Linked DNA regions of Lonchura striata. The protein of the gene in region 2 interacts with the protein of the main gene of each other region in a biochemical or structural test. Links are inferred from orthologs where the notes say so. Each region holds a gene or a part of one and is shown on either strand. Other genes may lie near its edges.

What was found.
Region 1: the proteins of NHLRC1 (region 2) and EPM2A form a complex in vitro, tested with the Homo sapiens proteins (3 studies listed by BioGRID, with this or other methods). The link is inferred for Lonchura striata from reciprocal best matches to the Homo sapiens genes NHLRC1 and EPM2A.

What each region holds. Positions count from the first base shown.
Region 1 is NC_134605.1:49,433,622-49,449,529, reverse strand, and holds the start of EPM2A (laforin), read right to left. Parts: upstream 6,320-15,908; 5' UTR 6,259-6,319; coding exon 5,997-6,258; intron 5,914-5,996; exon of another isoform or gene 5,768-5,913; intron 1-5,767. UniProt on the Homo sapiens protein: Plays an important role in preventing glycogen hyperphosphorylation and the formation of insoluble aggregates, via its activity as glycogen phosphatase, and by promoting the ubiquitination of proteins involved in glycogen metabolism via its interaction with the E3 ubiquitin ligase NHLRC1/malin.
Region 2 is NC_134603.1:88,840,879-88,856,667, reverse strand, and holds NHLRC1 (E3 ubiquitin-protein ligase NHLRC1), read right to left. Parts: upstream 8,606-15,789; 5' UTR 8,551-8,605; coding exon 7,396-8,550; 3' UTR 4,418-7,395; downstream 1-4,417. Other genes in the region: TPMT (thiopurine S-methyltransferase), read right to left, coding at 11,754-11,869, 12,642-12,686, 13,646-13,731, 14,470-14,544. UniProt on the Homo sapiens protein: E3 ubiquitin-protein ligase. Together with the phosphatase EPM2A/laforin, appears to be involved in the clearance of toxic polyglucosan and protein aggregates via multiple pathways.

The DNA.
Region 1 (15,908 bases), on a different chromosome or scaffold from region 2:
GAGTTTGAGTCTGACACAGGCTCTGGCGTCCCACCTTCCTCAAGCCTCAGCAAAGCCCTCAGTAGCAGCCCTTTGTTTTAACAGCTCTGACAAATAGCTCCAATTCTATATGCCACATATGAAGCCTAACCCGTATGCCAAAGAAAAGCATACTTTGATTTTTAATGCTTTTTTCTTCTGTCAGCAAACCATCTTCCCCTTAGATTCTGTAAGTGGTGGCAGATGAATTTATTTTATTACTTAAATACATAGTATTAGTAAGTCCTTCTAACTGGTCTGATTTTCAAAAATGTTCCTTTGCATTTGCAAGCCAAGAAGAGATACCCAAAAAGAAGAAAATCATGTGCATCATACACCACATGTTTATATTCTTTCAGACTTAAAGCAGACTTCCTTTTTGATAGAGCTGCTACACAGAACCATGGAAACAAGTTCTAATTCTATTAAAATCCAGGCAGAATTTAAGTCTTTTTATTTATATAACCCAAGAAAATTCTTTGATGGAATTACATTTTGAAATTATGCCTGAATGAAAACTAAATGGTTTACAAGAAAGTCATTCTTAATACTTAATGCTGTTCATCACCAAGGCTTTTTTTTCTTTTTATTTTTTTAATCAGATATAAGAAAATCAGAATTTTCAAAGTCAACTTTCAAAAATATGTTTTATTTCTCTCTGTAGGTCTGCTCAGGCCCAGGTGTTTTTCAGTAGGAACTTCTATTGTACCAAGAGATTTTAACCAAATGCCTGGTTTAATGATGAAGTCAGAGAAAAGCATCTAAAAGTAAATTTTCCTCATGTATAAGACAATTTCTTTTCTGGCAGATGGTAGAAATAACACTACAGGAAATACAAATGAGAGAATAATGGTTAATAACAACAAAATGTATAATCTAATACCATCATCTTGTTTGTTCTGACACTGTTTACTGTACTGTCTACTACTAATTGTTACTTTCTACCATACCAGAATAGGCAGGAAATGAGCTACATCAAAATAGCAACCATGGCAATACTTCGACCAAAGTATCATCCCAATTACTTATCACTTCTCAGTGTTTCTTTCCATTCAAAATAAGTTGTTGAGCCCACCTTCCATTTGGAAGTGAGGGACAGGAAAAATGGTAAATATAGGATTTGCATAAAAATAGCATTTATTGTAAATTTGCCATTATAACCACAAAGGCTTTAATTAGACTCGCACAGAAATCAGAACTGGCCCCTGATTATCTTTGTGGGTAGGAAAAGATCCACACCTGCCAAATGCAGAAGAATGCAAGTATATGCATTTATTTTTATTCTTGTAATTTTCCAGTTTCACGTGGCCATTCTACATTTTTTTTACTGATGTCTGGTTGCCTGCTCAGTATAAACTGGCTAATGCTGATAAGCAGATAGAAAGTAATGAGAATCTTGATGCCATTTTATTGCACCAAAATGCATGCTATGTATAAGCCTTGTGGGGGTTGAAGAACAAAACACAGTGAGCTACTGTGAGCTACATTGTAACCAAAGCTTTTTTTCCATTCCTTAAAGAAGTATTGGGTTGAAGAATTCAAAGTTATCCACTCGTTAAGTTTTGTCACATCTGAAAGATGTTAAGGTATCTAGTGCTGTCCAGAAAGCAAGAGCCTTGCAGGAACAAAATGCTTTATGATGCACAATTATTCAACTATCACATAACTTGTATTTTATGTTCATTTCTAGTCACCACCTACTTCAGAACTGGGATTTGGGAAAATAAGTAAAATTCTGGATTATTTTCAAGAGCCTAATAGATTACACAAAATACTAATGAAACATGCAAGTAGCTGCAAGATGCTAGGCAGGCGCTGGCTATACACAGGGAATATGGCACCACCCAGTGGGAAGAGCACTACATGAAACATCTGCATTAAAAGAGCCATAAAGAAACGTAACTCTTCAAGGTTTGCTGTCTTTTTAATTTTATTTTTTTAATTCAGGTTTGTTTGTTTTTAATAATGGAACTGCTACCTATTTTCGGGATCTGTAGATTAGCTTTGGAGGAAAAAAAGAAAGGGAAAATTAATGGATCTCAGTTACAGAAATTAACATGGTATCCAACTGTACTTCTTAGAATGGCTTCAAAAATTTTATTTTGCAGCTTAGCCCCAAATATTTTTCATTCCATTAGAATCTCTCCATTGCAAATGGCAACTAGATCTTACCTTCTCATAAAGCCTCAGAAGAATCCCCTCCTTTTAATGAAGATATTACAGCTTTTTTATCCAGAGCTGAAGCCAAAAGTCTGATTGCTTCAAGCTTCAAACACTTTAAAAGTCAAATTTTAATATGCTTAACCATCACTGATGTTTTCAACTAATCAGGTGCTCAATCCTATGATCAGAATTTATTTCTGATATTTTCACTGGTTGTACTACAGTGATGTGAAAACCTTTATTACTCCAAAACTCTACCAGTCTTTTGGTTTATACAAATAGGCTCACAGAAGTGTGAACTGGAAATGTTGGAAGGCCAACATACTACAGGCTGAGTAACATAATTGTATTTAAATTGTACTGTATTGTATCATTTGTCTTGCAAACAAGACATCTTTTCTCTCCTCCTCCCTCCCCAAAACTAGAGATGGAGGTTTTCTGTAAGAATTAAGGCTCTGCTCACCTGAACAAATTACTAGAATATAGGCTGACTGTGCTTTGGAACTTTCACTGGTAATACTGGATCTGGCAAGCTCCAACTCCACCATCTAAATTAAGAGCTACACAAAAATCACAGAATAACAAAATGGTTTGGGTTGGAAGTAGCCTTAAAGATCACCCAGTTCCCCAGGCAGAGACACGTTTCAGTAGACCAGGTTGCTCTGGGCCCCATACAAGCTGGCCTTCAACACTTCAAGGAAGGGGCATCCACAATTTCTCTGGGCAACAAAGGGGCAATATTTAACAGTACAAGCTTGTGTATGTACTACAGGCTTATGTAGGTTTTCTATATAATTTATTTTTTCCCTTCCCAAAAATACAAAGTGTCAGCAGACTGTATTCCATCCTCTCAAAATACAGTTTGGGGCATACCTCTAACAAATTCCCTGTCCTTTTATGCAGCATGTTTCTTTATTAGTTCCTACAGTTTATTTAGATGAAAGTATGGGGATAAAGGCACAGATGAGTCTTCCATCATAAACTCACAAAAACAAACTCAAGCATAAGTTTCATCTTGTATTTATTTAGTTTTGACAGCAGACACAAAATACTTTTAGTTTCCAAGCTGAGAGATGTTAAGTCCAGTTTTGAAGAATCAACACAAAAAACAAAGTACACAGACACAGGTGCACTTGGGGGAGAAAAAGGTACATACATGAATTTAGCTTTTTTTCTAATTCCCAGATTCTAAAGCTCAGCATAACCAACCTGTTTCGACAGCATATACAAAGAGACAGCATATCACAAACCCTCCTGGATAGCAGGCTTCAGCTTTCACAGTAGGTAAGCAAGTACCAATCCTGAAGAAACCCCACACAGCTCATGTGACCTGAGCCAGAAACACTCAATGGCTTTAAGTGACAGGTCCTGTGTGCAGACCAGCAACATCTCCCTGGGACAGCAGAAGCAAGTATCTTCAGGAGCACAGGGGAGTCTCACCTCCCACTTTGTCCTCCTAGGGAGGGGAACTTGTTCCCTCAAGGCACATGCAACAACCCAGTGAATCTTGCACAGGCCAAGCCTTGCCTGAAAGCTTCCTACCAAAAGCCATAGAACACTGGCCTGTGACTTTGACTCTTCTAGCCCACATAAATAACTACCTCCACTTTTATCTTTCAGTCTTCCCCACTGTATTGGAATGGCTGAAATTTGTACTCAAAACAGATGATACATAGGTATCGTACTATCACAAAAACAATATGCACTGCCAGTGGAATTCTCACACACGTATGTGTCTTAGTAAAAAAGATGAAGTAATTTTCTTAAATACAGCACATGATTTCAACATCCAATATATGTAAACATCTGACACCCCTAATCAGACTGACATCCATGGACTACAGTTTCTCTGGTTACAGATGGATGCCTCAACTCATAAACTTAGAGCAAGTATCATTCTGCACTTTCCTCTATCCCTCACAAACATGTCTTCAAAACTGCAGATGTTCTGCAAGAGCTAAGTGTTTCCCAAAGCCCATTTTAATTCTAAACACACAGGATACTAAAGAGACAATGCACAGCATTTGTTCAGCACAAAAAAACACCTGTTCTTTTTTTAAGAAGAGAGTTGTCTTTTCAAGCTCTGGGTTTTACAAGAATAAACAGATGACAGACAAATTTTCATTGATCACAGTTAAAAAACCCCAAAAACCAAAAAACACTAAAACAGATTAAAAAGAATGGCAAGATTGCTCAGTTATTGGATAAGAAAATTTCCCTAGGCTTCCTTCATGCAATAAAGCAAGAAAAATAAATTTCAAGGTTTAAGCAAATTTGTACTTTCATGTAAATATCAATTGAGGAAAAAACTGTTGATATTAATGACTAATTAAAAAATTATTCTGCATTTAGACGATGTGCCCACTTGCTTTCTATCGTTCCTGGTAACCACTGAGCTCAAACTCCTGAGCATTCACAATGACAAGAACAAAATGCCAGCCAGGTTAATCCTAAAACTGCAAATCTGCCAAATCAAAGTATGTTTATTACTCTGACTACATTTCCTAAACGTGCTCCCTGAATAGACAACAATTTGAGCTACCACTACTTCCAAACCAGAACATAACCATCAACCTTCAAATTGATGATTCTCTCTAATTATTCACTATTATTTCTATGAAATTCTAATTATTTCTATTTCTACTATTATTTCTAAAATCTGTGTGGTGAGGACTGCTTTATATACCAGTATCACTGTCATATTATGTACAACTTGGCACCTTCAAAGGGACCCAATTCTGCTTCCTTGGACAGATGTAAAGATTTTTATTCCATAAATTCACTTTTCCTGCAATTCTGGAAAAGAAAACATGGTTAAAACAGGCAGAATATACTATTTGTTTTAGCTGCTAAACAAAACAATTACTATTGTATGAGGGACATAGTCCTTTATGATGTAAACTTCTGTGAATGTAGCATTTACATGAAGTCTTTTATTAGCATGAAGAACAAACAAATGCAACAGTTATGACAACATGCATGTTTTAGTCTACATGACAGAAAGGCAGTTCAGAAATGTGGTATGTATTCTTAAAATGGGTGAAGAGCAACTGCTCTACAATGTGTTATTTTGGTACATGGATTATTATGCTATGAGTTAAAAAAATACCCTCACAAATTACCAAGTGATCTATCTTCCTTTCACTAGGTCAGACCATTCCTCAGTTACAGGAGGTATATTTAGAGTTTTATTTGACTCAGGAAACGACTGTCTCAGTGTTCCCTTGGATTTAAGATACTTCAGTATACTAAACAGCATATGGAAACTGACCAGTTATTCAATATTTGAAAACACACAGAAAGAGGAAAACACGGTGGAAGTACTACTGAAACAGCAAGAAGACTGGAAAAGCTGTAACTAAACTTCTCCCTGTGCTTTTCTTTAAGAAATCAAAATAGCAAAATTTACCAGCCTGAAAATGCCATAATGACACATCACCTTAGCGAAATGAAATAACTACACCATAGTGAATACTAGGAGATCCTAAATTCTTCACTTCTGAGGAAGAAACAAAACTTCATGACAATGGATGCCTAAAGCAAGGGGGTGGGGGGAATGAAACTGTTTCAAGTAACTTTTACCAACCTATAAAGACAGCCTCCTGTATTTACCCGCCTCCATCACACAGCCAAAAAACACTTGTGTTTGCGAGCACCCACGTCACGAGAGCCGCGACAGCCTGGGCGGCTCTACGTGCACCGGCGGCTCCGGGGACAGGGAGCGGCGGGAGCGGGCGGACGGCGCCGCAGCGGTGCTCAGAGCCGCACCGCCCCTCCCGGCGGGGCCGGGCACGGCCAGGGGGTCCCTCCGTTACCTTCCCAGAGGAAGTGGCCGCCCTCCCGCCGCAGGAACTTGTACCAGAAGGGGCTGGCGGCGTCCTCGTCCGGCAGCGCCACCTCGGCCAGCCACAGCGCGGGCTCCTGGGCGGGCAGCGGGGCGCTCGGCCGCGCCCGCCTCATGGGCACGGCGCGCCGCGGGTCCCACTCGCCCAGCTCCGGCCGCGACCCGGCCACCAGCAGCTCCGCGCCGCCCTCCGTCACCCGGCCGGGCAGCACCACGCCGAAGCGGAACAGCATCGTACACAAAGAACGGCGCTTAACCGGGAGCTCTGCTATTGCACAGCCGCCGCTGGCAGGCCGCCCGGGCCCGCCCTTCCGCCGGGGCTGGGGGTCGGACACCGGCCCGGAGACCGCCCCTGGCCCGGACGCTGCCCCGGCCACCGGCCCTGCCCTTGCGGAGCCCGAGAGGTGCCTCCTTCGGCCGGGGCTGCTCCCGCTTGTTTCGGGCGCTCGGCTGCCGCACGCACGCTGCCGGGGATCTTCCCCTCCGAAGGGGAGTTGAGCAACACCGAGCCTCAATCGCCTCCTAAAGTGGGGATGGAAAATCCCCTCCGCAGCTAAACACTGGCTCTCCTGGTTGCCAAAGGCTACGCGTCACGTATGGTGACTGTAACAAGGATTATTGCTGCGTTAAAGGAAGCCATTGCAATTACTGCCAAGAACTCAGGCTTAATTTAGCGCAGCAAAGACATCATTGAAAATTGCCGTACTTGCAGCTACGAACAAGGACTGGCTGCAAATAACGCTGTAGTGTTCATGATGTTTATGTCTTTCCCGCTGACAGCCAGCCAGTCATGGTGAGAAAATAAATGTGAAGTGCTGAGGGAGGTTAGAAAGCTTTTAAAGAAATCTGGAGTTCGCTGCACGAGTTCTGTTTACGGCCAGAAGGGGAAAATTTGGCAACTCCTACGCGTAGCAATACTAAGGACTTAAAAAGACTGAGGAAGAGGATGCAATCCAGCCATTTAATGGGCGGTCCCTGCTTGAATACACCCATTTCAGAAGCTTTTAAGGACAGAAAAAGAGAAATGGTAACTTTATTTAGGTCAGGTTCTGGGAACAGGATGAAGGCCTTTCAATGAGTCAAAAGAAATCCTGCCTCAAGAGATGGCTGTTTGTTTCCTTTATGCAGGGGTGATGACACTGAAGTGTATGTGCTGCCAAATTTATTTTTAAGAGTGCTTTAGCCAATTTTCACTGATACTCATTGAACTTGTGTAAGTGATATTCTACCACTTTTCCAGACATAACCAAAACAAATGAAATTCTCACTGTCCTCCATTTCTGCTGGCTTTACTGTAGCACTGCTGCTTTTGTGGAACAGTGCAGCACATTTTAATTTTTTTTTCTCAACCTTACAGTTGAGCTACCCATACCCTGTCTCATAATTTCAAATATCTAACTCTTTACCATACACCCCCATTTTAGCAGCACGAGACAGAATGTAAGAATTCTGGGGTTTTATCCTAAAGATCAAGCATGACAGGAGTCCTAAAACCACCTCAGCATATTGTGTCTACACAAAACCATATGCTTCTGTTCATTCCAGTCACAGCTTAAAAACTGCAGGATTCAATAGGGCATCTGATTGACAGTTTAGTTCCTGGCTGTTGTCTAAGCCCCAGTGTAAAGAGAGACCAGCAACATCCATCTTTGGACAAGACTGAACTGCTTTGTGCCTGTAAATATTGAGTCCTCATCTTAGACCTGTAAGCCTTGTGGAACAATAAAAAATTGTTCTGTAGACTCTGATGTGCCAAGTAGTATCTTTAAAATTAATTTAGTCAATTTCTTCTCCGGGATCTGCCTTAATCCATTTTGTGCCACTCAATATTGTGTGTTAAAGATGACAGAAAGTGGCCAGCTTGATTTCCTGACGTTTCCTCAAAAGCCCTAGTGCAGATAAGGGTTAGGTTGAGAGATCAACAGGAAGGGCTGAAAAACTGGATCTACTGATGGATCCTGCAAGACTGAGATAAAAACTAGAAATGTAGATTGGTTTGGGACATCCCATGGCTGGGTATAGTGGGAACAGAAGAGCAGTTTATATTGGTGAAATTGCAGGCTGAATGGGGGCTGTAGACAGGATAAAATTTATTAGCATTAGATCTGAGACTGAGGAGCTAAAGGTACTGTGAAGTTTGTTTTTGCAAATGTATGTTTTTTCCCCTGTTAGATTTGCATGGTCTATGATTTGTCATCTTCTAAACTGGAATTTCAGCTGGAGTAAAGGCAGAGGAGGTAGGGAGGAGTTCCACTTACTGTTAGTATTTGGGATTGAAGGAGTTGATGAAGTACTTCCACAGTTGAGCCACTGCCATAACCCTAAATTTAGTTTCAAGTGTCACCCTAAGCCTCTTAAGGAATTAACAATAGTTTCCTTTGCCAAAATGACCTGTTATTCTAGTACTGCCTGGCCAGTGCTCTTCCCCTAGTTCTTAACACTATTCTGAAACCTAAAAGCTTTCATGATAATCCAGTCATCTTTTACAACCACAAATTAAACATGACTATTTCCTTTTTTTTTTTTTTTTCCACTATAGTAAGTCTTCCTTCCAACTTGGCAAGCCTTACAATTCCCATCAAAAAGCTTTGGCACAAAGGGGCAAAACCCCAATAGTTAAGCTGTTTTTAATTGTCACAAAAACTACTGTCACTCATTGATTCCTGTGGGAACAAGCTACCATCTTAGGGGTCTGTTTGCATTGCAATCATAAATGCTGTGCATTTGTGCCTCTCACAGCTGTTTAGGATCTCTCAATATACTTACAGCAGCCACTTGCTGAATGGAAGCCCCGACTGACCTCAAATCAAACAGTGAGCTAGCAACACAGTGAGGCTTAATGCCAAGTTTATTTAAAAGCCTTCAGTTTATTGTTTCTGCTACCATCCGAGGCATTTGCTAAAGTTGTTTCTAACTGGCAAAAAGGGAAGAATTATATGAAAAAAAAAGGACAGCCTATTTTTACACAGCATTAGTGTGCAAGAAGGGACTTGAGAGATCAGTTTCTGCAAGAATGACTTGCTTTGTGGAGTTCACCTAAATTGTACCAATACATAGTAGCCTTGTGTAATTTCTAGCTAATTAGCTGGCTTATTATCCAAAATTTGTGCAGGTAGTGGGGATCACACAGGAGGACTCACCGAGGCTGTGTACCAACTTAACATCAACCAACCATCAGTTATGCCTTCAGGTTTCTGCCTAACGGCTGTATCTGAAAGGATTCTACGGAGAAGGCTGAATGTCCAGAAATGTGACTTCATTTGCAGACATGTAAAACACATTTAAAGGCATTTTCACTTGCTGTGCACTAAACATTTGCAGAATCACAGTTCTAACATTCTGCAGAAGTCAAATTTCTTATGGTGTCTCTTTCAGAAATAAAATTGTCATGATATTTTTGTGAACCCAAGAGTTTTAAACCATTTGTTACATCCCAAAAAAATTGTGCAAAGTATTGCTGGCCGAAATTTTAGTGAAGACAGTAGTTGAGAAGTTTGACAGCATACTCCAGTTCAAAATTCAGCTTTCCAAGTGGAAAGTCATATTTTTCTTCACAGTTTTCTTATCTGCAAAGTGTCTACTAGGTATAGAGACAGCACACAGTTATCTGATCAATGTGAATACTACTAAAATGACAGCTGAAGTTAATAGTTCCATGCTGGGGTAGCCTGTGTCTGCAGTATAAGTGTTCTTCTTTTAGCAATTCCAAACTTTTGCCCCATAGCCCAGTTGCAGCTTGGAACAGCTTTATCTGTTATTGCTGTACAGTGATCTAAGATGGTATTTCCAAGTAGGGAAATCTGTAGTGAAGAGAGAGAGCTTGAATAACAGAAACAAAACACAAATACAGAAATATTTGGTTGGAGAAGGGAGGGAGTATTCCTGATTGCAAGTTGTGGGTGATGTTTAGATTAGCAGTGCTCCTTCCTAGACTTGCCTTTCTTCCCTTTTTAGGTCATTTTCTTTCTTGTAAAGATACAGAGAAAGTGTTATTGCAATTCCCAAATGTTTCTGCTAATTATAGAAAAGAGAAAAGCAGCACATGGCACACAGTCTTGCTTGTAAAAAGGCAAACATTTATATTATGTGATAAGCTGATTTAGATGTATTAATGATTTGGGTAAAATATTCATTGCTGAAAAATTTAGACAGCCTGTATTTCTTCAAAGAGATTGTGCTAAATATAAAAGAAACCTTATTCTAGTGCAAATAATTTAAGACCACTGGTTTAAGTAAAAGTTAAGTATTCTAAACTACTCAATCGACAGACCCAGACCTTCTAATTGAATTCTAACTGTCCTTCTCTTATCAATTCTGATAGAACTATGAACTAATGCTCTCACCAATATTTCTAATTTGACAATACAGCAGCTAATAAATACCTTTATAGACTGAAGACTGAAAGAAGACTAAGATTAAAGAACTTGTTAACAGATAAGCACTGCTATCCATAATTTTTAGTTTAGAGCTGTGTCAGAGCACTGATAACTGCATGATCCATTTTAGCTGCTTATTGCTAGGAGCAAACTTTTATGCAGACTTAACTACAGAAGTTCTGTCAGGAATGACCATTTCAGGAATTGTGTTGGAAAAATTTTCTGCAACAATAGATAGGACACTAAAGGAGATGGTTTCCACTTTTGCATGGGGGTTTGTGTAGCATATTTTTTAAACAGGTTGTTGTTTTTAGAAGTAACTTGGCAGTATAAATATGCAATAACATTACAGTAAACACTACAGAAATACATACAGGAATAACTGATCTGGTAGGTTTCTTTTTTCAACATCCAGTTAAGCTGTCTGCATCCTCCCCAGCCTCATATGCCTTGGGAGCTGGAAAAAGTTCCAACATATTTCAGCATGAGGCCCTTTTAGGATGTCCTAGCAGCCTCACCAATGTCCAGAAATGAACAAATATTGCAGACTAGTCCAGCACATGGCTCCTTTCCTGCCCAGAATGAGCCATAGTTTTTGGAGGGATGCTCCACATCATCTGTGGTACATTTGCACTGGGATGCTGTGACCCAAACCAGCCCAGAGTTCTGGTAGCCCTAGCAGGAACATGGCCCTTCTGCCCGGCACAAAGGGATGAGAGAGGCCAAGTGCTTACTCAGAGATCCAAGTACCTGGAGCTTCTTGAGTGAAAAACAGTATGTAGCAGTAATCATTACAATATTAACTCATTGTAAACTTCATTTTTTAAACCAGCCTATTTCCACCAATGTTATATCAGGTTTCTAATTAAAATGTCTACTTAAGGGAAAAAAGAAATGTTTCAGCTGTTTGGAAACAAGACAGTGTAAAAACAAATACTTGATTGTACGGAATAGCAAAACTTTATTTCATTAGTTAGGAGAATGCAATCTGACCCAAAACTTATGTGCTATTAAGTTTTAAGTAGAACAATGTGCCTGCCTTTTTTCTGGGGAGACTTAAATAATCCTTCCACTTTCAAAAGCCAGTGCTCATTGATCCTAATAATACACCCTCTGTACCTGTGCCAGGCTTGAGTGTTCTTGGGATCCCCAGCAAATTACTGATTGATAGAAAGTTCCTGTATATTATACTCCTGTGGCCATTTTAAGAAAAATTTAATTGTTTATTTTTCATTATGCAGACCTTTTAATTGCAATTGTTTTATGTATGACCAGCAACATTTCAGGAAGTCACACACAGCATTAGATGTGGAGTAAAAGGTGAGAAAAGCAACCATGGGAAAGGAAGTTTGACAAGAGAACTTCCTTCTCAATTTGTGCTTAAGCAATAGGCTTCTAGCTCCAAAATTGATTGGAATTTAATAAACAGCCAAAAAATTGGAAGTCTTGCTGACAAATCTGACTAGATTTTAGGTAATTTACTAATTACTTAAGTTATGACTAGATTTTAGGTAATTTACTAATTACTTAAATTACTATTAAGTAACTTAAGTTACTGTGCATTTACTGCATAATGATTAAAGAGCTTTGGAACAAAAGCTGTTTGGAACAGTAAAGGTTTCCCTTTACTTGTTTTTTAAAAAATTAAGCAAACTGAAGGATATTATCCTTAAAGCCATGGACCAGTATCACAAAAGGAAACAGAAATTATAGAAATGATTGTTCATTTAAGTATACAAGTCTCAGTGGTTATTATATGCTTCACATAGTACAACAAATCAAACTTACTGATGACTGACCCTACCAATCAATTTATTTTTCCAGTTATATTAAAAAAGTAAAAACATCTTAAAGCCTTTTTCTTAGACAGAAACTGGATCAAAATACAAATCCAGAAGTTATATTTAGATCAATACATGATATTTAAGGCCTAGGAAAAGTGGCAGCAGAAATTAAAAGAAAAAAAATTTAAAAAGAAGAGAAAGCATCCTGATCCATACCCAACAGCTCCACAACATATAAAAAAGAAGCAGTTATATCACCAGTAAATCTAATAAAACAGAGATTTAATGCTCAAGTGTATATAACAGCATATAGAATACCTTACTCTCTTTTTTTTAATATATGAATCTGTTGCTGTATCACTGCATCAATACAATGCATTGCTGCTTATCTTTCTGGTTTCACGTGTTGACCAAATTTTTCACTGCACATCTCTTTATTTAAAAGAATTTTTATTTTGGCTGTTTTGGCAAGCTTCCCTAAATTCACTTACCTGGCACACAAATAATCTTTGCTAAGAAACAAACACTATGTTCACCCAGATATAAAGAAACTCTTGGAAATAGGAATTGCAGTCTAGAATGAGAGTGTAAACAGTCTGCAACTTAGCAACCTTCCACCGGCCATGGCAACAGCTTGCAGCCAAGAACCAGGAGATGTGTATAGCATACTTTGCAGACTAGATCATAGACAGGGGACTCCTGTTACTTAATTTGGTATGTGTATGTTGCTGTGTACCATAGTAACCTGTTTCCACTTGAGCTCAAGCTCTCACACAGATGCCTCCTCATTAGCATGGCCTCAAGGTAATGGCACAGAAAGGTATTTCTGTGGCATCACCTCAAGGTAATGCCACAGAAACCACACTTGAGCTGTACTTGGCCCCTAAGTCAGCAGATGATCACTTGGTTTTTCTTCACCTGTTTGAAAGAATAATGGATATGGAAGATCAGTCCAAAACCAGATCCATCATCTTAATCAACAGTATTACAACAGCCTTGGAAGTACAGCGCACACTTCAAATATTCTATGTGTAGAATTACACTTGAATTACACATACATTGTCTTGAACAGCTATAAGAACACTTGAATTTTCAAATTACATTATCCTTCTTGGTGCTTACTTTTTATTCTTACTGTATTCAACTATAATTCAAGCTGTTCAAAACTTCTTATACCTAAGCCCTCTAAAGTGGTTTTAAATTTACTGAAAAATAGCACTGAGATCTAATTTTTAGAGATTCCTTATTGGTTTACTTTTATACATTAACTAATCTGCACTTTTCCATAAGCATAAGTTCTCAAGCTAAGATCATTAAGGCTTAGTGCTATATAAAATATTGTTGCCAAATGCCTTTTCTATTCTGAGATAAATCTAAATAGAAAAGATAACAGATTCATATATTAATACCAGGCAAAATTAATTTGGGCAAAAATGCATAATTCTCAAGTATTACACTCATTACCTCAAATTCCAGGTAAGTGGAATTATTTTCTTAAATTATCAGAATTAGTTTTTGCTTGATAGCAAATTTCATGTCTGTGAAACTTGTAGAATAAATCTTGATCTGATCTCTCACTTTTTAGGCTCCTGACCATAAAACAATGAAATGGGAGTCTTTAAAAATACATTTATATAGGGATTGTTGGAACTAGTTCCATGCAAACTTCAGCCAACCAACAGTTCTTTGTAGCATGTAGTAGCATATCATGTTCCAAGTTCTCAAGAACATAATCTTATTCAAAGAAGAGGTTTATTACACTGCACATATTTATGAGTAATTTAAATATATTACCAAATACAGCTATCCCACTGGCTAAAATATTTGTAAGGAGGAAAAGGCAAAGCTAATAGAGCTGTTAGCTGGCATGATGGCCAGTCTGGATTGACAGGGGCAGCAGCACAGTGAAGCACTTGATGTGCCACTATTAGATTTCCTTTGGAAGCATCCACATTTTAAGTGATTTAAACTGAAAGCAACAATTAAGCTCTGCATTTTCACTTATGTAAGTATGAATATGCAAATAAAATACCTTTATGATCAATGATATTGTTAGCATTCACTACCCTGAACTGCATTAAATGACACATCAAACAAACTATCCTTCAGCATTTTGCAAAGACTGTGGTGCAATAATTCAATCTGTTGCTTTCATAATCAGAAATTCTCAAAGTATCACTTCTGGTGTGGTGAATTTGACCAGTATTATTGCACAGTTCCTCCTCACCAGAATACAAGTGTATTATGTGAGGTACTGACTGTGGGTTCCAAGTATAACAGAGCATTTGTCTTACCTTTGCTTTCTGAACTACTTTGCTTTCAGCTGTACACACACTGCTTTCAAAGTACATAAATTCTATCAATATAAAACAAGCTAAACTAATTGACAGTGCTTTCTTCAACACTATTTCTAAAGAGTGATTATGAACACAAAAGACACATTTAATATTTGCATGCTGATCTCCATGCTCCTTTAGTCACTGCAGATACTTGTTTGTCTCTATCAGCCATCCTCCTGTGGGTTGGAAGTTAACAGTCTGGCAAGTTACTAGCATCAATGAAAAAAAAAAAAAAAAAAAATCAAGCCTGTTGCCATGTGTGACCAGTGGAACAATCCTTGCTACAGCATGCTCAAAGCCAAGTACTGCAGGAGAGGTGGCAAACACAGACCTATCCACATCTGTACTAAACAACCATCTGCAGCACAGCAACATCAATATTTGATTCCAGAAGGATCCTATGCCAAACCAGCATGAGACTTAGACGTTTTTAGATCTAACACTGCAAGAGCTGAGCCCATCGTTAATTGCCTCCAAAAGGAACTGCACCAAGGTAGCATATTGTTTTGCAGCAACTCAGTTATATCTACCTTCTAATGCTTTTCCTTTTAATATTTTTAAGGAGAGACAAACGAGCATTCATATAATTTTGGTCTCCAGACCTTTGTAGGGAAAGTTAAACCAATCTTACTCAAATGAGGTTCTCCAACTGTGTTAAACACTAAACGTCACAAAGTAGGTTTTCCTCTCTTCGTATTTAAAAAGTATGAAATAAAAAGCACTGAATGTCAGTGCCTTCATTTGCTAGCAGAAAGATTCAAAGTGACTAGCAAAACCATTCTTTTTTTGGAAGTCAAAAGCTAAAAGTTTTTGAGAGGTAACAGATAAATCCACACCCTCCTTTGACTTTATTACCACATAAAGGATTATATACCTCTGGAAACATATATTTAATCTTCTCTGCTTTCAGACCATCTATTTTAAGCCATGGTATTTAACAGAGGTGGAAGTTTTAACTTAAGACTTTATGAAAATAAAATTGCTGTTTATAAAGCTATGCAAAATGATCTTTTAGATACATAATTTACACTAGTATGACTGTGGATTAAGTGACTCAGTAGGAACAGCCAATGGGGTATTATTATTTTTTGAACAGTGCCAAGAAAACTACAGAAATTAAGGAAAAAGGAAATATTGCAAAGAAGCTCTTCCCTGTCTGAAATACGCAGACACCAAGAGAGACTGATCCTTTTTCTACCGCTTCCCTCAGCCATGTTTTTTGCAAAGCTCTGTGGATTTCAGTAAAGCTCACAATCAGCTCAAAAGATAAAAGGAACTATTAAGCTTCATCAACTTGATTTGGGTACTACATACATTTTTTTTTGAAAACTGTAGTTCTCTGCCATTCAGAAATTATTGCAAATATGCCTTTTCTTTAGGGACA
Region 2 (15,789 bases):
AGATGGCCCAAGGAAGTTTCCAAGCTTCTTGTATGTTGTCTACACCAACATTTGATAGGAAAACTCAGACTAGTTACAGCAATCACCCACAAAATCCACTACAGGGTCATGGTCACTGGGACCAGCTTGCTGCTATTGCAGAGGACTGAAAAAAACCCCAACAAACCAGTGACTTGCAAGTTAGTGACTTCTGATTTAATTTTTCCCACAATCACTATTACAAATGCAACTGCATAGGAGGAGCTGGGTAGAAGGATTCCTAAAACTGTTAGTCCACACACAGTTTTAATTGTACAGTCTTTCACCCTCTTCTCTCCTGTAATGCCTGTCTCCCAAAGGCATTCCCTGAATTACTTAGGTCCTTTCCCACCATTCATATTGTGATCTGAGGTTTCCTCCCTTTAATCTGACAGCAAAGATGAAAGGCTGTTTTAGAAAAGAAACACAGCAAAATCAAAACATGGACAGAACCTCTGGGGGAATTAACCTTTCTTCTGAAATCAAAGTAGTGAGGACACACATGTACACCACAGTTTGACAGAACAGCAGCTAATGAGAAATACAGTTTGGGAACAGACTAAACAAGCTGGGAATAATGAGTAAGTGTTGTGCAGAAGTCACAAATAGGAAGAATGTGATTGGAATTCAGAAATCAAAAATTTAGCCTTGATTTGAGGTTTAAGTCAAGTCAAACTAAAGGGTGAAAGTCCATGGCTTGATATAGATGTCTGATAATAATTCAGTTGCATGGCTTTTATTTCTCCAGTGACAGAGATACAAGAAAGATTTACTTCTGCCTCCAAGGTACACTTTTCTAAGTGGTTTGGGTTTGTTTTTTTTTTTTAATCTCAGTAACACTGACACAGTGGAAATATGTGAAATATAGTATCAGCTGCATTTTAATGATAATGTCATCCAAGTACTGAACAGCTCTATGAACATCACAAAATAAATTACTAAAAGTTCTAATGCTGGGCCTGGGGTAACTTCAATTTCAGTTTGCCATACTAGGGAAGAAATGCACTTTTCACTTGGTCTTTGAAAGGCAGCAATCCTTCTTGCAAAATAAAACTAAAAGTGGCTACCTACTCTGCAGCCTTAGAAATGTTTTCACAGTCTTAAGACTAGAACCTACAGTGTGATCTCTACTACAGTGTAAACACCATACCTTTTCTAACCTGTTGGCTAAGATTAAAAACCTCTTCTGTAGGATCTGCAAGACATGTTCAGGAATAAGGTCTACACTGAAGCTGGTCCAAAGTGGGTCTTGCCCCAGCTTGTTGGTTACTGAGCAAGTGCACATGCCAAAAGGGAAGTGTGGTATTGCTCCACTCAGTCTAAAGGCCTTAAAAACCAAGCAAGGGTTCAGTATATTATGAAAGAATAAATAAGAAAAGCTAAACTGTTACAATAAATTTCTTTTACAAAGAATTTCTGATGCTGAATGTCATAACTACTTATAATATATTCTAAATATGCACAAGATTTTCAGCACATAAAACCCCAAAGCAGCATTCCCAGAAATTGTCATCGTAAAGTCTGCTGCAAAGACTTCTCCAGGGCAAACCTCTGAACTAATCTGAAACTCCCTGATTTCAAGCCCAGTCCTGCAGCATTTATTTATGTGGACAATTCCATTTGCAGTACTCATGACTGCACAGATAAACTGCTCATGACAGAGCAAGCCTCAATTCAAACAAGTCAGCTCAAGTAATATTAAGACTAGAAAAAGACTAATACACGTACTTTAAATACTTCTGGCTCCATAATATCATGCTGTAAGTTGAGGGGAAGTTGGCGGAGAACTCACTGAAGAGCCCTATTTCCTACCTAATTAAGGAAAATGACAGATAAGGGAGCCAGGCACATCCTTTTCATATTAAAGTGATTATATATTTTTAATACTTAATCTGTCTGACTATTTTTGCTAAATTTCTTACAAAGCATATTTCAATGACATTATATTTATTCTCATGGTAGTTCCTTACTCTGTATTAATAAAAGGCACAATTGTCCTTTGTTTCTTACTTTTAGTACAGATCAGTAGTTACTAAATACTGGTTAAATTCCATAGTACCTATTATTCTGGAACTTGTGCTAGCTGAGTTTTACCTTTCATCTATTTATATTTAGAAAAATTCCCAGTAAGAGTTACCTCCAGTGATTGTGTAGGTGTATAGTTCTTTCAAGATATTTTTTTTTTTTTTTTGGTACTAGAAGTTTTAAAAGCAAGCTTTGATAAAAAACATTTATCTTTTTTTTTTGGTTGGTTGGTTTTCTTAGTGTCTTCAGAGTTTTCTCAAAGTTAATTCTTTCTTTTTCTCAGTTATAATTTTGGATCTCTAATCCTATGTCTTGCTTAAAACTGCCTACACTTTATTCATTACAAGGCATATAATGATATTTAAAGCATTTAAAATGTTTTACAGAATCTTGTGGCAAGCAATAGTTTCCTGATTTAAAAAACAAAATATTCCATGAAAGCAGGATTTGTTCTCTCACTTCAACTCTCTGCCCATATAGTGCTCACCTGTGAGCAAAGAATAAAAATTGCATACATAAAGAGGGATTGTTAGAAAAATGATACGTATTCTTTTTTTTTTTTTTATTAATTCAACTACAGGGAGCATACTTCCCTAAAATGCCTTGTTTGCTCAAAATCTTTATCTCCCCCACAGATTTTTGCTACAAACTAATAGACAATTAAAGCTACAAGTAACTGATAGCTCTCCTAAGGATTGCCATCTGAAAAGTGTCTAATTGTAGCTGGAAAATCTGTTCATATGCAGGTCATTCCTCTGCCAGAGGTAAATACTAATCAAAAGGCAACAGCTCTTATCATCTTGTCCATTTTCCAGGCTGAAATGCTTCACCTCTTAAGAATGCATTCCCTTTACTGGAATGATGGGTGTGCTCTGTTCTCTGACTTGGTGGAGTTCACCCTCTGCTTAAGCCACAGACACCTTCCATTAATTTTTTCTCCTTTTCAGAGTTGATCCCCTCCTTTCTATCCTTAATGTGAAATTTGAGCATTTCAAAACCACACACTTTTGTGGAGCATACTGGAAGCAATTATCTAGGAATACATTGCGGTTTGGAAAAGTATTAATTCCCATGATTTGTAGGAAACACCAAAGGAATTAGTAACAAGATCATCAGTATAGTGTCAAAACTTCTTCAAAAATCAGGAAGGCACCTCCCAGACAAGACAGTGATTAAACACAGACTCTCCCTGCTTTATTAAGGTAACCTTCTAATGGGAACTCTAAGATCTAGCCTGAAGTCTGCCAAAGGCTTCCCTTGATTCTGAGCTCTCTTGTCTGCAGCTGCAGGGCCAAGACATTTGTACTGTATTTGCCTCACAGAGAGGTTGGAGTGCCAAGTTCAGGAATATCTGTAAATCTCTTGGAAAGCAATAGTGAGAAAAAGGTGTAAGTGCAATGCATCATCTGCTCCCTGAGAACCTCTCCAGTATCAGAGAGCTTTGAAGCTGTCCAGGAGAGTCAGGCATGTTACACGAAGGAGGCACTTTAAGAGAAAGTCTGGATGTTTATGTAACACTATCAAAGAAGTGCTTGCTGTTCTCCTGAATGATCTGGCAGTTCTCCTAAGATGCCCGATTGAAGAGTGAAAAATATCTGTATTTTTGCTTTGCTCCTGTAGAGGCAAGCTGTGACTCACAGGTGACATGTAAACTGTAAGATGAGCCTCTGAGCAGAGTCAGGAAAAAAACCCCCAAACGCTGAATAGAAGGAAAAGAAAAGAAATTCCTCGTGTGTGAGGTGCAACAGCACTGTGACCCATGGTCCTAGGGAAGAAATCTGCTTTTTGACCTCCATCAACCCTTCCAGAATTGAAAGGTCTCCTATATTATAGGCTATCATCTTGATGGACCTGCTGTATAACATCCTTAGTAGTTTGGGGGCTGGACATTGCTTTTTCCCTGAAATCAGTCCATATTAAAAAATACTACAGTGATGTTACATACATGCTTTGGGAAAACATAAAGATCAAACTGATGTGTACAGCAATGTGACTGGAGGGAATAGACAGGTGCTCAAATGGACAATGGCCAAATTGAAATAAATTTTACTTTTTTTTCAGCTTTTTCCCTTATTCATCAATCTGAAAAAAATATATTCTTTATCTAAAATAATTCTCTTCACAAGCAAAATAAAAAATATGTGTTACAGAACATCATCTCAATATGCATTTCTGAAACTCCTCTGACTCCTTTAATTCCTTAACACTGTAAACATACCCTTGATATTTTTATATGCAACCTGAGATCAGTGCTTAAAAATAAACCAAATAGGAATTGTAGTGTGTGTGTGTGTGTGTGTGTGTGTGTGTGTGTGTGTGTATACAACAGACATAGAAATCTCTACTAGGGGCTGAAGACATGACACTAAAGGAAGACTGTCCATTATATTTATTTGGTTTTAATCCAATGGCTAGAGCATGAGGTGCAGAAAGTTATGCAAAGGCGATGGAGTTAAAAAAAATAAACTCAACACTAATTTTTAAAAATTGTCACTGAAGCATCTAGACACAGTCCTATGTTCCTTTCTAAATGGAATGGCTACCACTCTTTTCCAAAGGTAAGCATACATCTAGCTATCCCCATTCCAAGCACAGCCAGTCAAACCCCAAACCTAAGGAATCAGTTCAAGCATGGGCCTTCCATGATTTGCCATCCCTCTCTCAGAACACAAGATTTTGTGTCAAAAGAAAGATTTCAGCTTTACTGCTGCATTTTTCCTTAAGCACCAAAGAACTTGAAATTTTTAATATTTTGTTTTTATATACAAATACAGTTCATTATGGCTTCTCAATTTAGGCACCTACATCAAAATAATTCAGACAGAATGTAATGGTTCCTTTGATGCAGTGTGGTACAACAGTAAGCACCAAGTTGTAGATTAGAAAGAAAACAGTTGCATTGTTCACAGAAGTAGTCTACATTTGCTTTCAGTAGGTAGGTAAAGCAGAGACTGCAGGAGATGGCACAAAGTAAAAAAAAAATTCTATGAGGTAGAATAAAGTCCGAAAGTTTATTTTGCTTACAAATCAAAAAATTAAGTGATTTCTAATTAACCAAATGAGTAAGGAACAGAATGGGCAATAATGGGAGTTTTTGTAGATTTTAAAACAGTATGAGTCAAATGCTTAAAAATCTGTATTTCAACTGCTGGAAAGTTGCCTACATGGCAATAGGTCCTAGGAAATTTTCCCATCCATGAATTTAGTAGCAAAAATAAGCTCCTGGTGCACACAAAGGTTTGAGAAGATAAAAGCTCACAGCCTATGGTTCAGAGGAAGTGTTACCGTGACAAAGTATTAATTATGTATGAATACAGCATTGAGGGCATTGCATGCATTTTGACACACAGCAGTCTCCCAAAGGAAGAGTTATCTAATTGATTCTATCAAAGGCAGGCGTCTCCTTGGCATCTAGAAAGGAATATATAATCCAGGGGTCTCCTCCTCTGAATAAATTTCCTTCCTGACTTCCCAATTGGGCTCCTGCTCAGGGCCATACCGCTCGTACTGCAGAACAAGCAAGGAGGATTTCTGGTTCTTCCAAAGGCATTTGCTGTCTGGCCAGGCAGTAGAGAAGGCTGCAAAATACAGACTGTGCACATCCATATAATTTTCAATAGCAAAAAATGGCCCTACAACAACTTCTATAGGATATCACCAAACAGAAGAAGAAACCATCTACAGGCCAACTGCAATGCAGAAATGGTGTTGTAACAAGGAAACACCTGATGAAAAGATATGAGGAATTATCACTAAATTATTAAAATATAGAAGTAAGCAAATCACACTTTATTTACTGTTCAATTAACCCTTACAAATAGCTGCAATTAACAGATTTGTTTTGTTTGACATGTTTTGTTTTGTTTAAATGTTGACATGAGACAGATTAACATATTGGTTGAATTAGAGAGCTAAACTGCTCCAATTTAGTGCAAGTATTTGGTAAATCACTGGTGCTGTAACACATGCAGTTATTAAATGCCCTGAAGTCAGACCAAAAGCCAGACAAAAAATTTACTGATAGATGTCTGTGAATTTCAAATTACATTAGTTAATATTAACGATTTCAATTACTTAAAAAAAGAAATTACCCCTAAAGTTTTATGCCATTTTAACCTACTCATCTCTACCTCAGATAGCATTTACATCTAACTTAATTTTAATGCTGAACCATGTAAGTAATCATTTTAGCAGCACGCAAATTCCTAAAAATGCAGCAGTGACTTCTAGTGGGTGTATTAAATCCTCCTCAAAATAAGTCATAGATGCCATAATTTCCACTATGGAAAAGGCAGAAGGACTTGTGTCTACAGTAAAACTGTGAGAATACAAGTAAGAGTATAATATTACTGTGATTAACACAAGAAAATATAAACTGATATAAATCTCTTGTGTGTTCACAATCAACAAAATCGAATTTGGAAGCTATGAAAAAAAACGAGGCCTACCTCTCACTAACATTTCAATTTGCAATTGAATCCTGGGGTTGGGGAGCGCAAAAGCACCATATTAATGACAAAACAGGGGCAGGCAGTGCTGAAAACCTCCTACATGTAGCCGTGTTAGCAGCAGAGCCAACTCAAACTTACATATGCAGGAGTATTTGTGGTCTAATCCTGGCTTCAAGAGGCTTTTAGGCAAAGCAGCCCACGCTGTGTAACCACACACCAGATTGTCTCCAGATAACATTACAGACTTGGGCATTTTTTAGGAAAAAAAAAGTGCTCCAGTACAACCTTAATAAAGGTGAGAATAATCTGGCAGAGAAAAGAGTGCCCCCAGAAATGCATCTTCCTGGAAACAGTAGACTTTGAACATGATTTAACTTCCCATGGTAGTTCCTCCATCACAAAGATTTTAGTTGGATTTAGGCAATCTTGAATGGAGACTTCCAATTGTCCTATCATTCTGTCAAGGTGATCTCCTTCCTTGTGCACAATTCCTGGAAACAGTTCTGTCAGGAGTGTATCTATACTTAATTAAGAATAGTGATAATTATGTGCTGGGAAATGTAAATAAATGACGCATTACTTTCACACGTGCTGATCTTTGATTATGTGTCAAAAGGAACCAAAACAACTTGGTTGTCAAGGCATAGAATAGTTTTAAAATGCTAAGTGATTTGTTTGGTTCATTTGTTGTTGACTACAGGCAGCAACAGCCAAGTCCTCTCCCACAGGTAGGCAAGAGATGTGACACAAGTTTTGCAGGAAGCACAGCGTGTTGGTCAGAGGGTGATTTCACTCAAAGCCCCAACACCTCCTCCTCCCTCCACTCCTACAAACTCCAGAACTCCGCATGCTGTATGAACAGAAGCAGCTTGAGCCTGCAGCAGTACGCATCTAAGCCCACTCAGGTAGAGCTATATACTTTCACTGAATGATCACCGCTGTCTAAAACGACGAGGGAATCGTCTGCCGTGTAAGTCAGTCCAACGGGATAAGCAAGCCCGTGGCTAATTAGAGGATTAAAGATGGGAAATTCCTCAGGTTTTCCCAAGCATATGACAGCCTGGCTACAAACATCCGTTACTATAACACGACCTTCTCTGTCAAAGGCCACAGCCGTGGCATATATTCTGGAGGGGAAAACGAGGTTCAGACCGAAGCTGTCCACCTGGCCGATGAGATCCATCTCCGCACTGAGTATGGTCACTCGGGTGCTGCCCTTGCTCGGTCCCCGAGGTCTCAGGTGCTCTATCACCACGACAGCACCCGAGGTGGGGCAGACTGCGACCGCTCTGGGGCTGACAAGCTGGGACCGGATCATCTGGCACTTCTTTAATTCCCCCCTTTGGAAGTCGGCCGCCAGGCGGTACAGCGCGCCTGCTTCCGAGTCGGTCAGGATTACTTCGCTCCTGGGGGAGGCATCCAAGCCCCAGGGCAGACGGAAGCCTTCCCGGACAGCCAGGACTCCCCTTCCCTCAGAATCGAAAGCCTTCACGGAGCAGTCCCCGCCGTCGGTGACCACCACGTGCCCGTCCGACGTGACCGTCACATCCAGCGGATACTTGATGTCGTTGCTCGCGCCCCCCCGCTCCCCGAACCGCCGCAGGCAGAACCCGCTCGGCCCGAAGACGTGGATCCTCTTCTTGCCGTCGTGTGCCACTGCCAGGCCGCCCGGCCCGGGGCAGGCCGCCACGCCGGTGGGGTTCACCAGCGACCCCCAGCCCCCCAGGCACAGCCGCAGCCCGAGCCCCGCGGGGGCCGCCGCCCCTCCGCCGCCGCCGCCCAGGGCCGAGGCGAGGCCGCGGCCGGCGGGGCGCAGCAGCTCCAGCAGCTGCAGCAGCGGGAGGCAGTCGCTGGTCTCGGCGGGGCCCCAGAGCCGCCGGCAGAAGGGACACTCCAGCCGCTGGCGCTCGGCGCCGGCCAGGGCCCCCACGCAGCCCCGGCAGAGGACGTGCCCGCAGGGCAGGTTGAGCGGCCGCCGCTGTCCGTCGGGGCCGTACGGCTCGAAGCACACCCGGCACTCCAGCAGGCTCAGCTCCGCCTCGTCCTCCGCCGCCATCCCCGCCGCAGGAGAGCCACCGGAGCCCCCGCGGCGGCCCCGGCGGCCCCGGGCCCAGCGGGGCGGGCGCGGAGCGCGCTGAGGCGGCCGCGCGCCCCCTGCGGGCCAGCGGGGGCGGAGCAGGGCCCGGGCCGCCCTTCCCGCCGGGAGCGCGGAGCGGCCGTGTGCGCGCCGCGCGTGCATCCGCCAGTGCATCCAAAACCCACCAGAATATTCACACAGCCACCAGATTCTTACAGACGTCCCGTCATCAAGTTACCGTACCCCTACTTCTCCTAATGTCCCTGCCAGGGTAAGGAATTAAGCCACAATTTCACAGAATCATGGACCTTGATGATTATCTAGTTCCAATGCCCCTCCCATGGGCAGGGATGACCAGAATAGACCAGGTTGCTCAAAGCCCCATCCAGCCTGGCCGTGAGCTCTTCCAGGGATGAAGAGTTCTGCACCTTCTGTGGGCAATCTGTTCCAGTCTCATCACCCTTGCGCTAAGGAATTTATTGTTAATATATCACCTAAACCTATCCTCTGTCAGATTTCCCCTTGTCCTGTCACTACATGCCCTTGTGAAAAGTCTCCAGTTCTCCTGCAGGCCCTTCAGGTAACGGAAGGCTGCTCTAAGGTCTCCACAGAGCCTTCTCCAGGCTGAACAATCCCAACTCTCTTAGTCTGTCTGCGTAGGAGATGTACTCCATTTCGCTGAGCATCTTGGTTTCATTGGATTTTCCTGCTGTTCTGGCAAAATTTTGAAAATATTTACATTCATCACTAGTAGACACATTTCTCAGGTACATACATACATTTCTGTAAGGTGCATGGACAACATGTGCTCCTTCTGCTAGGTGTATTTACAGGGTATTTTCAGAGTAGTTGCAGGGTACACACAGATTTTACACATCCTAAAATGGCTATTTTGGCATATGGCGTTGCTCTTGCCAGGCTGTTGCATGCCTGGGAGTCCTGTGCAGGACACCACAGAGCATGTGGCAGCCTCGTGCCAAGCGCCTGGCCCTTTGCAGCTATCACATATCTCAAAGTCTGAGATAAACTTCAGGAGCTCTCATGTTGCATCCGAAAAAAACTTGAAAGGAAGGAGATGCTTTAACCTGGTAGCTGCAGTACTGGCCAGGAGTGAAAACAAACAAAACCAGCAGCTCCCAGCTTGCACTGGCCCATTGGCTACACCTTTCTTGTCTCCATCAACCTAGCCTCAAAACACAAGTATCTACGAGCAATATTGAGTGTTCCAATGAGCTGTGGGCATGGGGACTGCTGTGCTAAGACCAGCAGACCCATTTGCAGCTCTAGGACTATGGCACTCTAAAAAGCCCCATGGCTTGTACTTGCCTTCTATTCTTGATGAATGATACACTGCATTGCAATCATACCTTTCCTTTCAAAATAAGCTGCGAAGGGGAGAAGTCACTGTGCTCTGTCAACTTCAAATACTTCTTGTATTGAGATGGAACTTCCTGTGTTTCAGTTTGTGCCTTTTGCTCCTTTCTCCATCTCTGGGCACTACTGAAAAGTCTTGTCCCATCCTTTTGTCAACTGCCCTTAAAGATAAAGGACTGATGGTCACTTCTCAGTTGCCTCCTCTCCAGGATTAACAATGCCTCTCTCAGCCTTTCCTCATAAGCAATATGCTCCAGTCCCCCAGCCATCTTTATAGTCCTCTGCTGGACCTACTCCATGTTGAGATTTCTCTTGTACTGAGGAGCCCTGAACTCGACACAGCACCCCAGATGTGGCCTCACCAGGGCTGAGTAGAAAGGCAGGATCACCACCCTCGACCTGTTGACAACACTCTTCCTAATGCACCCCAGGATGTCACTGGCCTTTTTGGCCACAAGGGCACACTGCTGGCTAACTTGTTGACCATCAGGACTCCCAGGTCCCTCTCCACAGAGCTGCTTTCCACCAGGTCAGCCCCCAGCCTGTGCTGGTGCCCTGGGTTTTTCTTCCCCAGATGCAGGACCCTGCACTTGCCTTCTCTCAACTTCATTAGGTTCCTCTCTGCCTGGCTCCTGTGCCTGGCCAGGTCTTGCAGCATGGCTGCAGAGCACTGTGCTGTGTCACCCACTCCCCCTAATTTTATATCATGATCAAACTTACTGCAGGTACCCTCTGTCCCTTCATTCACGTCACTGATTAATAAGGTGAACAAAACTGGACCCAGTACTGACCCCTGGGAACACTGCTTGCTAAAGCCCTCCAACTAGCCTGATTACAACACTGAGCTCTGCCACTCAGACAGTTCTCAATCTACCTCACTGGCCACTAACCTGGACTGTTTCCCCAGTTGAATCCATGTTGACTATACCTGATAACCTTCTTTTCCTCCACTTGCTTAGAGATGACATCCAGGATGGGTTGTTCCAAGGATGAAGGTGAGATTGACTGGCCTACAGTTTCCTAGCTCCTCTTTCTTGCACTTTTTCAAGACTGGAGTGACATTGGTGTTCCTCCAGTCCTCAGGCACCCCTCCCGCACTCTGTAACCTTTCAGCTATGATGGAGAATGGTTTAGCAATAACATTTGCAGCTCTCTCAGCACTCCTTGAACCCTCTTACCCAAGTCGTGTTAGTTTGCTTGCCCATAGCTGCACTTTCTAATGAGGGAGCAGGACACTTGTGAGCAACTGCCAGGACATTTTCCACCAATACTCTCCCCTCTCCCTGTCATCCAGTCTATGTCCCTCCAGCTTTTCTTGCTGGATGGTAATTGGAAGCTGCTACCTTGCCTTTCCCACTCACTGCCAGCCCTTCACTTGACATATATTCACAGGGATAGAGAGAAGCAACTTGCAGCAGCTTCCCACTTCTCTCTGCCCAGCCTGGTGCAGTGTCCCATAAAACAGTGTTTGAACTGCAGCTGCCACACTCCCAGGGCTGCCGGCTGATGAGGCTGAGTTGCAGAGTGCCAGGCAGACAACATTGACCAGCAATGGCTGAAAATGAACAGGAACATTTCTTTCTCACAGCTCCCATGATTTGGAAGAAAAAGGTATGCTTTGGTAGTGGCTGTTTGTGCATGGAGTTTAAGAAAAGCTGTTCACATCTCAAGGTAGTAAAGGTAGATGTGTAGGAGAGCTGAATTGGTAAGCAAAATGCACAAAACTCCTGCTTTAAGAATGCCCGATTTTAAAATGTGAGATACAAGAAAAAGCAAGGTGGGAGGCAAGTTATTTTAATAAATTTTAATCAAGCTACAAACTTTAATAGATATAGCACCTCCAGAAAATAATCTAGTCCCCATTGTCTGTGCTTCTCTGAGAAGTCATCAACTTTTTCAAGACACTTAATTTCACAGCAGTTGCCTGAAAAGGAGGCAAGAATAACAAATTAGTGAATGATTAGTCAATGAAAAATGCAAATTGTCCAGATAAAACCCCAAAACTTATCCACAGATTTCTCCACAGTGCCTAACACAGTGACATAAATGAGGAAAACTTAATTGATCTCTTTTGCACTGGGATGCAACTGTCTATGCCAATGACTCACTGCACAAACACTGCCAGAGTCTCAGAAAGTTGTAAATTTAAAAGCGAGATATTACAGCACATCAGGAGGAACTCCTAAAATTAAATTCCTGACATAGCTCCAAATTTCATTATTTTGATGGATTTGAGTTGTACATTTCTAGCATTTTCTTTGAGTACCGTTACTTTTCTTCTTTGTCACAAAAGTACAGTAGAAACTGTAGTAGTGGTAGGACTTGTATTAAAACCAGGGCAACTGGTTGATGAGGTTCAGGCAAAGTGAGAATGATCAAACAGGACTCTAAGATTGCAGCTACAGGATTACTGAGTGTATTATGAATCCTGGGAGAATAAAAAGGTGCCAAAGGGAGACAAGAAACTCTTTGACTCTTGGGTGTTCTTCTTATCTTTTGAAGAACTGAGAATTTTCCATGACAGCAAAATCTCTGTGGCTAAATCATATTTATTTTTCCCAGTATTTTTGCATGACTCTAGCCTTTAGATAAGAAGCAAATGACTTTATCATTCATCACAGGGCAAGGTAAAGGCACATAAACATCTTTATGCGTTTTGAAAAAAGTTCCTAAGGGTTAGGTGAAATTTTACTCACCAAACAAACTTTTAATTTCAGATTCAGGAACATAAAACGGTGGCCCTGAAAGGAAAGAGAGGAGATGTGGGAAGAAGACAAAATTTACACTGCAGTAGGAGAGCCAACCCCTTCACTCACAGCACCTGGCCTGTAATGGGGCCCCAGGGTGTAGCTCCATCAGCAGGAGCCAGAAAACATGACCAGAAACTCATGGCACCTTGGTGGGCCAGACAGCTTCAGGTGTTGCTGCTGCTTCATCTCCATCTGCAGCAGGGAATCATGAATGTGACATGGATATGATCACTCTCTGTGCTGTATGAATTCAGTTTACAATCTCTTTATACTACAGTGGCATGATTAAGGCTAAGAGCTGAACATTGTCAGAGGGAAAGTAATGAATTAAACTGTTCTTGCTTGTGATAGCAAGACCTATTTTTTGGGGGGATAATTATGCTGAAGTACCCAAAAGCAGAAAAAGATCTCTTTCTTTTGTGAGTTAATATTAACTAAAAAAATCTCCTACTTCATACATAATACAAAAACGATAAAAGGAAAAGTACCCTATGATTTTACAGATTTTCACCTTTTCCAAGTACATTCAGAGCATGGTAGTGGCTGAGAGAGACACACGAGATGGGCAACACATTGGGTTGCAAATACTGGATAAACAGCATGAAACTGATATTCTTGGGAGTGTTTCAAGCTCCTGAGGCCAGACAGGATGTTACTAAGTGCTCTGACTTCCAGCTTCATTGTAGCAGCCACATTTGCAGTTTCATTTCATTGTTAACATACCATGACTGTCCTCAACTTAACTTTAGCATGTCTGAATGCTAGAGAAAACACAAATTTAGTCCTAAGCTTGATCAAAATCAAAACTTTTTAACACACAGTTATACTGGTGTCACCTCTAACAAAGCTATGCAGCTAAAAATCTTGGGGAAGATACTAATACATCTACTATATCTTTATACAATTTGTATTAGAGGAAAACCACAATATAAACAGTACAAAGTTCTCACCTTTGTGTTTGTTTGGATCATATGAAACTGTAACGAGGAGATAAGAAGAATTTTTCTCCACTAGGTTGATCATCAAACTGGCATAGCTAAAAGGAAAAAAATAGACTTTATTATTTTTGTAAAGAATTCAAGCATAGCATTCAAAATATTCAATAAAATGCATTTATTTCTATGCAGACAGAATTTTAACTAAACTGCACAGAGACTAAGCAAAACTTAGTTTAAATTTTAGGAGCATAAAAGTCATGCTACACATGAAAAACATAAAATAAAGGTTATATTTATTCCTCATGATTATTTATCTTTTTTTGCAAATTCGACTCAAGATTAACAGACAAGCAATGTATTCATCTGCCACAGTCTAGAATATAGTACACAGTACAGTACTTATCTTTTAAAAATATTGTGAATTGAAGATTCTATATCTAATTAAAAAATACTGGGAGCAGGTTCAAACTAAATTTGGGCTGGCTATAGACAAGAACAAAAATTTGTAATCAAGGAGAGTGAGGGGGAAAAGAACAAAGACAGAAGAAGCAGATGTGGTGAAAAGGAAATAATAGAATTCAGATGAGGCTTGCAGTCCTGCTTCTGCTCAGTTGGAACAAACCACATATTTTCCCACCAAGAGGCAGGGTGGCTTCCTGAAGGAAGAGGACAAGACTCTGCAACTGCAGCAGAGAAGAGGAAGGTAGAAGAAGCAGGTAGAGAAGAATTGTGAAGGTTGGTCCTTTAAATGAAAAAGGACTCATTAACAAGTCACAGGATCAAAAACTTGTTACTGATACATCAGAGAAAAGACAGTAACAATGCAATTTACTAACCGTTGTCTGTCACATGGATTCACGGCTACAAGAGCTCCTCTGTCCCAAACCCCATCAAACTTGCCAACTATTGAACTATAAGGAGATAAGGAAAAGGCTTAAAAACAGTAAAAAGGGACCTTCATCTTCTTTCAGGCACTTTTGTGAGGTCACAAGGATTCTGCAGCTAGTGATGCAGATTCCCCACCACCTTTTTGTTATGGTGCAGCATTTTCATAATCCAAGCCAACAGGATACTGAAGTCAAGAAACCCTCCTGATTCTTTGTCCTGCTGCAAAGAGGTGTGGGGTAGTGAAGAGGTGTGTGAATAGGTCACTGCTGGCCCATTGTTAGGGGCTGCTGAGACACAGCAGGGAGGAAGGAATGTAGTTTTAACACATTTGGGCTACAAGTCTGGGTGTTCAGTAGCCACATCCTTCTGTCTAACATGCCTTCAGTACATCAACAGCTCTTGACCATCTTCTAAAACCCATGCATGATTTCATATGCAGGCTAAGGAAGGTGTCTTGTTTTTTTACTGTCATTGACTCAGCACATTCAGTAACTTTAGCCACCTGAATTCCCAGCTACATGCCCAGGACAGTAAGCTTCAGCTTGCAATTTATTTAATGCTAGAAAGCTAAGTTACACTGCTGCTTGCCTCAGTGCAACTCTGCTGCAGACACTAGTTTTGGTCCTGGATATGCTGGCAGATGGCTTCAGTGGCTACCCAAAGCCTGCAAGTGAGCAAGACTATCAAGAAATGCCTTTATTAATGGATGGTAAGAGCAGCCAGAGCAACACAAAAGAGTATCTGGGAATAAGAAAGAGCCTTGGTTTTGGTATTATTAAAATCGGAGGTTAGACAGTAAGGTAGTAATAAAGTAAATTGTGTCATTTAAAAGAAAATTTGAATAAGTTTACTTAGAAAAATGTGGCATGGAATTGTGCAATACCCTTCTGCCTACTGGGCAGGTGTCCGAGTCCAATTGAATCACATCTGTCTTCATTTCTGTACAGGTTTTGGCTAGGGTAGAGTTACCTTTCTTCACAGTAGCTTCCATGGGTTGGTGGATTTCGGCTTGAAATCATGTTGGTAACACACTGGCAATTCAGTTATTGCAGAGCAGCACTTACAAAGCACCTTTTCTGCTCCTCCCACCCTGACACCAGTGAGTAGGCTGGAGACCACAAGAATGAATGAGACACTGGGTGGGAACGCAGCAGGCACAGCTGACCCCAGCTGAGCAAAGGGATATTCCAGACCATCTGGCTCCATTTTCAGCAATAAAACTGTGTGGGAGGTTGGTGGATGGAAGCACTGCTTGGCTGCTGGCTTGG